2 linked regions of the Tribolium castaneum genome follow. The protein of the gene in region 1 purifies or fractionates together with the protein of each later gene. This does not show direct contact. Links are inferred from orthologs where the notes say so. Each region holds a gene or a part of one and is shown in the gene's direction. Other genes may lie near its edges.

What was found. The genes of interacting proteins can lie anywhere in the genome.
Region 2: the proteins of cyp33 (region 1) and RNA helicase aquarius purify together in Homo sapiens (affinity purification with mass spectrometry; 5 studies listed by BioGRID and IntAct, counting the BioPlex papers as one, with this or other methods). This does not show direct contact. The link is inferred for Tribolium castaneum from reciprocal best matches to the Homo sapiens genes PPIE and AQR.

What each region holds. Positions count from the first base shown.
Region 1 is NC_087394.1:24,073,919-24,077,646, reverse strand, and holds cyp33 (peptidyl-prolyl cis-trans isomerase E), read left to right. Parts: upstream 1-927; coding exon 928-1,131; intron 1,132-1,178; coding exon 1,179-1,358; intron 1,359-1,407; coding exon 1,408-1,614; intron 1,615-2,957; coding exon 2,958-3,275; 3' UTR 3,276-3,337; downstream 3,338-3,728. Other genes in the region: palmitoyltransferase ZDHHC8, read right to left, coding at 1-52, 104-261, 306-424, 484-575. UniProt on the Homo sapiens protein: Involved in pre-mRNA splicing as component of the spliceosome. Combines RNA-binding and PPIase activities.
Region 2 is NC_087396.1:23,735,686-23,739,441, forward strand, and holds the start of RNA helicase aquarius, read left to right. Parts: upstream 1-1,300; 5' UTR 1,301-1,429; coding exon 1,430-1,498; intron 1,499-1,550; coding exon 1,551-1,651; intron 1,652-1,701; coding exon 1,702-2,410; intron 2,411-2,411; exon of another isoform or gene 2,412-2,519; coding exon of another isoform or gene 2,520-2,799; intron 2,800-2,847; coding exon of another isoform or gene 2,848-2,983; intron 2,984-3,143; coding exon of another isoform or gene 3,144-3,307; intron 3,308-3,363; coding exon of another isoform or gene 3,364-3,734; intron 3,735-3,756. Other genes in the region: uncharacterized protein LOC659930, read right to left, coding at 1-74; mthl5 (probable G-protein coupled receptor Mth-like 5), read right to left, coding at 2,520-2,799, 2,848-2,983, 3,144-3,307, 3,364-3,734.

The sequences.
Region 1 (3,728 bases):
AATTTCTTCTCCCAATGCAATTATTGACCCATGGACAGTGGTGGTCAAAAGTCTGTAAAAAATCGGGGATTTACCAATTTTTTCAACCAATTCCACAACTCACTTCTATACAGTGGTTACAAACACTACAATGTGAACATCTCGGTGGTCTGTAGAACTTGCACGTGACGCACCATTTCATCCGCACCGTAATCCCGTTGATCTCCACGTTCTTGTACAAGGGGGCCCTGAAATCGTCCTCGCGGTCTTCATCAGGAGGGGCTAAAAACCAGCTCAATTAGCGCTACAAGGGGGTTGTTACGCACCTTTTGGTATGACCCCCGGGTCCATGAACGTAGCGAGGGTGAAATTGGCGAGGACGAAGAACGTGATCACTCCTTGGTACGCGGGCACCCATGGATAATCCTCTAAGTAGTATCGGGCTCTAACAAGCGTAACGTTTGCCTAAATTTGGTAACATAAACACTGACAGGAATAACTCACGGGTAGTAGAAGAACAACGTTGTGGCTACCAACAGTAAAGTCCAAGCAAAAGTCGCTGGTATGTATCTAGTTTTAACATCGCACTTGGGCATAATGTTTTTTTACTCAAGATCTCGCGCAAAACTCGAATTTTCGCCTCAGACAGGCCAACATGGCTGAGACAAACGGGAGAAGTTATCGTTCGTTGCCCCTGTCAAACTCATCTGACACTTGACAAAATCGGGGGAAAAGAAATTCCCCAAGTCGCACACTTTTATATCGATTTTTCACATTAATTACTTGAATTGAAACGGACGGCAGTGCTCAAGTAGTAATTAAAATGCCATTAATTTACGTTTTTACGTAAAAATCCAATGATGGTTAAACACTTGATAGTTGCGCAGGCGCGTTAAGGGTGTCAAAGGTTTCGCACAAAAGTGAGGTTGTGTCAATGTTTTTTGAAAAATGAGCACCGGTTCCAAACGCACTATTTACGTCGGGGGGCTCGCCGAAGAAGTCGACGATAAAGTCCTGAACGCGGCTTTTATCCCCTTTGGTGACATTGTCGACATTCAGATCCCTCTGGACTATGAGACGGAAAAGCACAGGGGGTTCGCTTTCATCGAGTTTGAGAGTGCGGAAGACGCGGCTGCAGCAATCGACAATATGGTAACACCAAAGTTAAATAATGGACAATTTTTAAATATCAGTTTTAGAATGATTCTGAGCTTTTTGGTAGAACCATCAGAGTCAATTTAGCCAAACCACAGCGAATTAAAGAGGGTTCGACACGGCCTGTTTGGTCTGAAGACACCTGGCTTCAGCAGCACGCAGGCGAGACAATCGGCAAGACTATTAATGATCCTGATGATGGAACTAAAGAGGCAACAGATAACGTAAAAATTTCTCTTGATTTTTTGATTTTTTTGAGCAATTTTTTCCCAGGATGCTGACAAAAGTGACAGCAAAAAAGTCAAAAACCCTCAAGTTTACTTCGACATTAAGATTGGCAAGACTGAAGTCGGTAGAATAACAATGCTGTTGAGGGCTGATGTGGTCCCCAGAACTGCAGAAAATTTTAGGTGTTTATGCACCCATGAAAAGGGTTACGGTTTTCAGGGCTCCACTTTCCATAGAATAATTCCAGACTTTGTATCCTTTTTACCCAAAGAAAAATTATATTGTCAACAAGCCCCATAACTTGTTTATCATAAGAAATATTCACTTTTTCTTTTTTTTCTGGATTATAACTGTGTTTCTGCTACAGATGTTAAAAATATTGCGGTATATTTTAAGATTTCCCAATATTAAAAAAAAAAACTAGTTATGTTTTTTTCAAATAGAACACTTTAAATTTTATTACAGTTTTGGACGTAATCGATTCTGTTTAGTTTTTGAAATAATTTGTTTTTTTCAGTTTTTCAAACTTAAATCTGTATCAACTGTTTAACGCATTGCAATTAGGAACGTAGAAAAATTAAGAAGTTTGTTAAAAGTTGGATAACCTGGAAAAGTTAAATAGAACACCCTATTTTTTGTTTTTGCTTCTTAAAGGTCATTAAATTGTCTAAAAACATAAAGTTTCAAATGCCTAAAGTTAATAACTAAAAATCTATTTTACTTTAAAAATTAATTTCAGCAGCAGTACACATTATTTATGAGCATTGTCGTTACCAGGACTAGGGGTGGGCGATATTAAGATTTAAATATCAATAATCGATACATACCGATATATCGATACACCGATACATATCGAAGATTGGCGAAATATCGATATATTATATTGAAGTATCGATATTTACGATAGAGCGATAAAAACATGGGTATTTATAGATAAATGATAGTACCTAATAAATGTTACTGTTAAATTTAAAAAAGTTGAAATGGTGAAATACTTGTTTTTTTTGTTAAATTTATGTTTAAATTATACAGAAATCATAAAGTTTTGTACTAATGCTAATATTTTTGCAAAAAATGTTCTAACCCGTCGATTTTAAATCGCCGTCTTTTTTGGGTAGGCAATCCTCAACTGTTTTTGGTTTTGATTACATTTTTCAGTTCTCTATTTAACAATTGTACAAAAAATTAAATCTTGTACGATAATTTTTTTTGAGAAGATCTAATTTTTTACGTTTAACTAAAGTTAAACGATAATAACGAAATTTGTCGGAATATTGATAATAAATTATCGATAGTTATCGGCATGTGGTGTATCGACAGTTTTAGATAATTATCGATATGTCTATATATATTGATATATCGATCTTTTTATCGATATATCGGTAAAAATTCCTAGCCCTAACCCTGACTACCTCAATATTTTCAAAATATGCAGCAGAAACGCAGCTGTAAGCTAAAAAAGGAAAAATCAATATGTCTAATAATAAAAAAATTTTGGAGCCTTTTCGGCTCGCTGGGACCTGTTTATTAAAGAGGGCTACGGCTGTGAAATTAAGTTGCCAACATTACTTGCTAAATTCCTTAATGACGGTTAGATGTGTCAAGGTGGCGATTTTACCAACCACAATGGTACAGGAGGAAAATCAATTTATGGTCGGAAATTTGTTGATGAAAATTTTGAATTGAAACACGTGGGTCCAGGGACTTTATCAATGGCCAATTCGGGACCAAATACCAATGGGTCGCAATTTTTTATTTGCACGGCAAAAACGGATTGGTTGGATGGAAAACACGTGGTTTTTGGGCATGTTATAAGTGGGATGGACGTTGTGAGAAGGATGGAAAGGTGTGGGACCAAGAGTGGGACGCCCACGGAGAAAGTAGTAATAGCAGCGTGTGGAGAAATACAATAAAAAATATTTAAGAATTTTTGATTTTATGTAATGAAAATAATAAAGAACTTACTAAACGTAAATTGTATTTTTATTTACCCAGGAATGTTTTAGGCACTAGTTTTTCGTATTTTAAAAGAGCACAAAAAAAGATTTAAATACTTTAAATAAAATAACAAGAAAATATTTAAATTACCTTTTTAATGTTTGCTACATTACCGACAGCCATATTGCCAAATTAAACTTGTGCAAAAGAATTTGTCTTTATTTATTTACTTTGCCACAAAGATTACATGAAAAGAATAAATGAAACACCTCGCTTTATTCACAAAATAGGTTACAAAAATTGGTATTATTGTGCAAGTTATAAACCTGACGATAAATTATTGAGTTGGCAACTTTGGGTTCTTCAAGTTTGAGGATTGAGGTTACGTTTATCATTGATAGGTTATGTTTGACCGCAGCATGTTTTTA
Region 2 (3,756 bases), on another chromosome or scaffold:
ATTGTGTAGCTGGGGTTGCGGTGGTGGAGCGGCAAACGGGTGCCGGAGTCGAGTTTGGGGTTTGATTCCGACATTCCGGAAATCACATCGCGGACGAGGAGGAAACGCAAGCGAGCTTCTTCCTGCAGCGGACGCGAACGGACTGAAGGAAATGTTTCAGAGGCAGACGCGCGCCGCGGATAATGGAACACTTGATGCACTTGAAGATTGGGTAATTCGAACACTGAATCATCAATCAGAGGATGAGGTGCAAGAGTGGAAGGAGATGGGACAAGGAGATGGATTTTCGATTTCGGAAACCAAAATTATTCGAGTTGTAATTTATTGACTTTTTTTGCTTTTGAATTTGACTATCAAAATCAAAACCAAATAAAACAAAGTAGTATATCAAAGAACGTGTTTTATTTTTTTACATTTATGGCAACGCCATAATACTACCATTAATTAACAATTAACAAAACCCTGAAGACACAGAATTAAACTTCGAATGACCATCATATTTAATAAAAATATAATATTTTATCTCAATTTTTTCCTAACATTTAAGCAAGATATATACTTGATTTTAGAAACTGCGCACAGAATTCAGAATTTACTGTAAAATACTAATTTTTGTAATCCCTAGAAATAAATACATAATAATTAGTTAAAAATGTTAAAATACAGAATAATTATACGAAGTTTTTTGATTTATGTTATTTCAATAAAAATAATGCAAAAACACTCTTAAACAATCTGTTGCAATAAGGCCACTAAAATTGAGCTTAGTTTAATTTTTTATTTTTTTCTAATGTAATTATTTTCTAGAATTCTTTTGCAAATAATTGCTTGTTTTAAAATGAGGTAAGAAGTAATAATAAACGCCCAGAAATGACTAAATTATTTTTTTATGATTTTCTCTAAATTTCTCGAGTTTTTTAAATTTATTAAAAAAAATACTTTAAGTTTTACTTTGATTTTCTTAATTTTATTATTGAATTTCTCTGCGATTTAATTCATCAGGTTTATAGTTAAAAACTTGCAAATTTTAGAAGTTTTTTTTCTTGAAGAGAACGAAAAACGTCCCGTGAAAGTCAAAAATGACTTTATTTTGACAATGTTTTGCTAGATTATAACTAATATTTGTATTAACTGGTCTTTCTAAACAATGCATTTTATTTTTGTAAAGCTCGAATCTTAATATGGTCTTTACTTCGAACAAGTATTTCTTGATCAGCAACAAAGAATTCGAGTTTTGTCTCAGTCAAATTTTCTTCCCCGTTTTTTTTGGATTCTCAATTTTTATTCAAACCGCGCCACGCTTGCACCAACACAACAAACATTAAGTAAAAAATCCCCAGAAATTTGTAGAGGTAGCGTTCTTCAAACGTTGTTTAATTAAAGTTTTTAACTAATTAACCATTTTTGCGTGGTGTGTGCCCCCAGCCGAATGGCCGACAACACCACGAAAGTGGTGGCTCCCACCGTGGAGCAAATTAACGCCGACCGAATCACTGAAGTGAGTTACCCCATCCTAACCTGAAACCTTGTTTACTTTCAATTTTCCAAAGTTTGCCGAAAAATACTGGGCCCCGCATTCCGCCCAAAACCAGCAACCCTTCGACTCCCAAATCGTGGACGACATATACTTGCAAGACATCCGCGGTAGCAAGTAAAAAACCAATCCACCGCTAAAGTGTGGTTATGACAATTTTTTTCCAGTTTTTCGATTCGTAGAATAATGGTGTTGGAGTTCAGCCAATACTTGGAGAATTATCTGTGGCCCAACTACAAACCGGGGGCTTCGTATGCCCACATGTTGTCCGTTGTGAACATGGTGAATGAGAAATTTAGGGAGCGGGTGCAAGTGTGGCAAGCGTTTCGGAAAAATCCCACCCATTTTCCTGATTTTTTCCAACAAGTACTTAAAGGATTGTTAGAAGACGAATTATTAATCAATTTAAGAGAGCAGACTTCACTGCTTGTGTTTCTCAATCATTGCTTCAATAGCATGGAAGAGGGGCTTTGTAGGGATCAAGTCAAGCGGTTAGTTTCGCTCTCAATGTGGGTGTCTTTACAACCCGGGCGTCGTGAATACGAGTTTAAGAAAAACCCAAAGTGGCGAAAGTATTGGAAAGCCATTCAGAAAAAAGATAAGCCAGAAGAGTTAGAAAGACTGAATTGGGAGCGGACTTTTTTGCACAAACTCATTTTAAAATTTTTGAATATTCTGGATACGATCACAGAAGATGGGATTTGTCCACTTGACAAAATCCACTACTGTGAGCGATTTCTTGAACTAGTGACTGACTTGGAGGCTCTTCTTCCTACTAGAAGATTCTTCAATACTGTCTTGGATGACAGTCACTTGGTGGTGCGTTGCCAACTCTCAGCTCTCATTAAACGGCCAGAGGGACACTTATTTAGCCAGGTGAGTCGTTTAATCATTTTTATTATAAATATTAAGTACACAATAATGTAAATTAAATACATAAATAATGTCAAAATTGGATAAAACGGACGGAATGTCGTTCAGCTGCCTAATAGATTCCCGTATTCATAGCTGTCATTTCGTCGCCCCATTCTGGTTCAGGTTCAGTGCGACAACACTTGCAAAAGCAATTTTCGTAACAACACGTTTTGCGTACCAGATATCCGACGTGTTTCTGGTTGAAAATACAAACGTATAAAATTAAAGGCCCTTGGAATGCATTCAATATTATGTAACAGTTAACTAGGCCAGTGAATTTGAAAAATGACATCAGGAAAAACAGCCATGTTATTGTCATTATTAGCAATAATAAGAAAAACATGCGAAAGCTGCAAAAAGTGGTTTAGTTTAGTTGGCAGATTGTTTTTGCTGTCTACCTGTGGGTTAATTTATGGTGGATGCGACCGTATGTGTGCATTCGGCTTATGATTTTTAATGTTGTGGCGAAGAAAAATATGTCCATTATTATTGTGGCGGCAACGGGGACGAAAAATAGGATTATCCCCAGGGATCCTGAAATAAACGTTTTCAAAATTTTAGTGCTATAAACAGAGTGAAAAAAATCGCACACAAACAAATTAAAAATTAAAATAATCTTGCATCTTTAAAAATTATACGATCATGAAGTATTATCCAGTAGAAAAAAAAGTTTATTTTTTTATTGTATGTTTACCGATTTCTTCCTTTTGCTCAAGCTGCGGTTTGTCCTCGGGATAGTCCATGGTAAAATGGGCAAAAACGGCCAAAACGCCCAACAAGAGCGTGCAAGACCATGAATACATCGAATAATAACAGTATTTTTTCCCATCTGTAATTCTCAGAAAAACGTTCCTTGACCTGCAATGACGTCAACATTTGCATATTTATGAAACGTCCGTTCGTATCAATATTACTTGAAGGTTTTCCAAATGTAATAACCCAAACTATTTAGCCAGAAAAACGCCCCCAGTAGACTGAAATAACAAATGGTATCGCTAATAATGAGGCTTATATGGCTATCAAAAACCGTCAAGAGTCGGATTAAATCAGCGGCTTGGCTGACAATAAGGCACATGCTGATTGTGGTAACAATGTTACCGACAAGATCACGTAAAGTTGGCATTATGAAGTAGATGATGGCTATTATCAGAAGGCACACAATTCCAATAAAGTGCGTTATGGGCGATACAATATTTCGCATTAAAAATTTCGTTTCAGTCCAATGTGTGTGATGATCAGGGGCACAAACGCGAGCAAATTGACTCACAAGTTTATCGTCGACTCTCTGAAACATTAAATTGGGCACA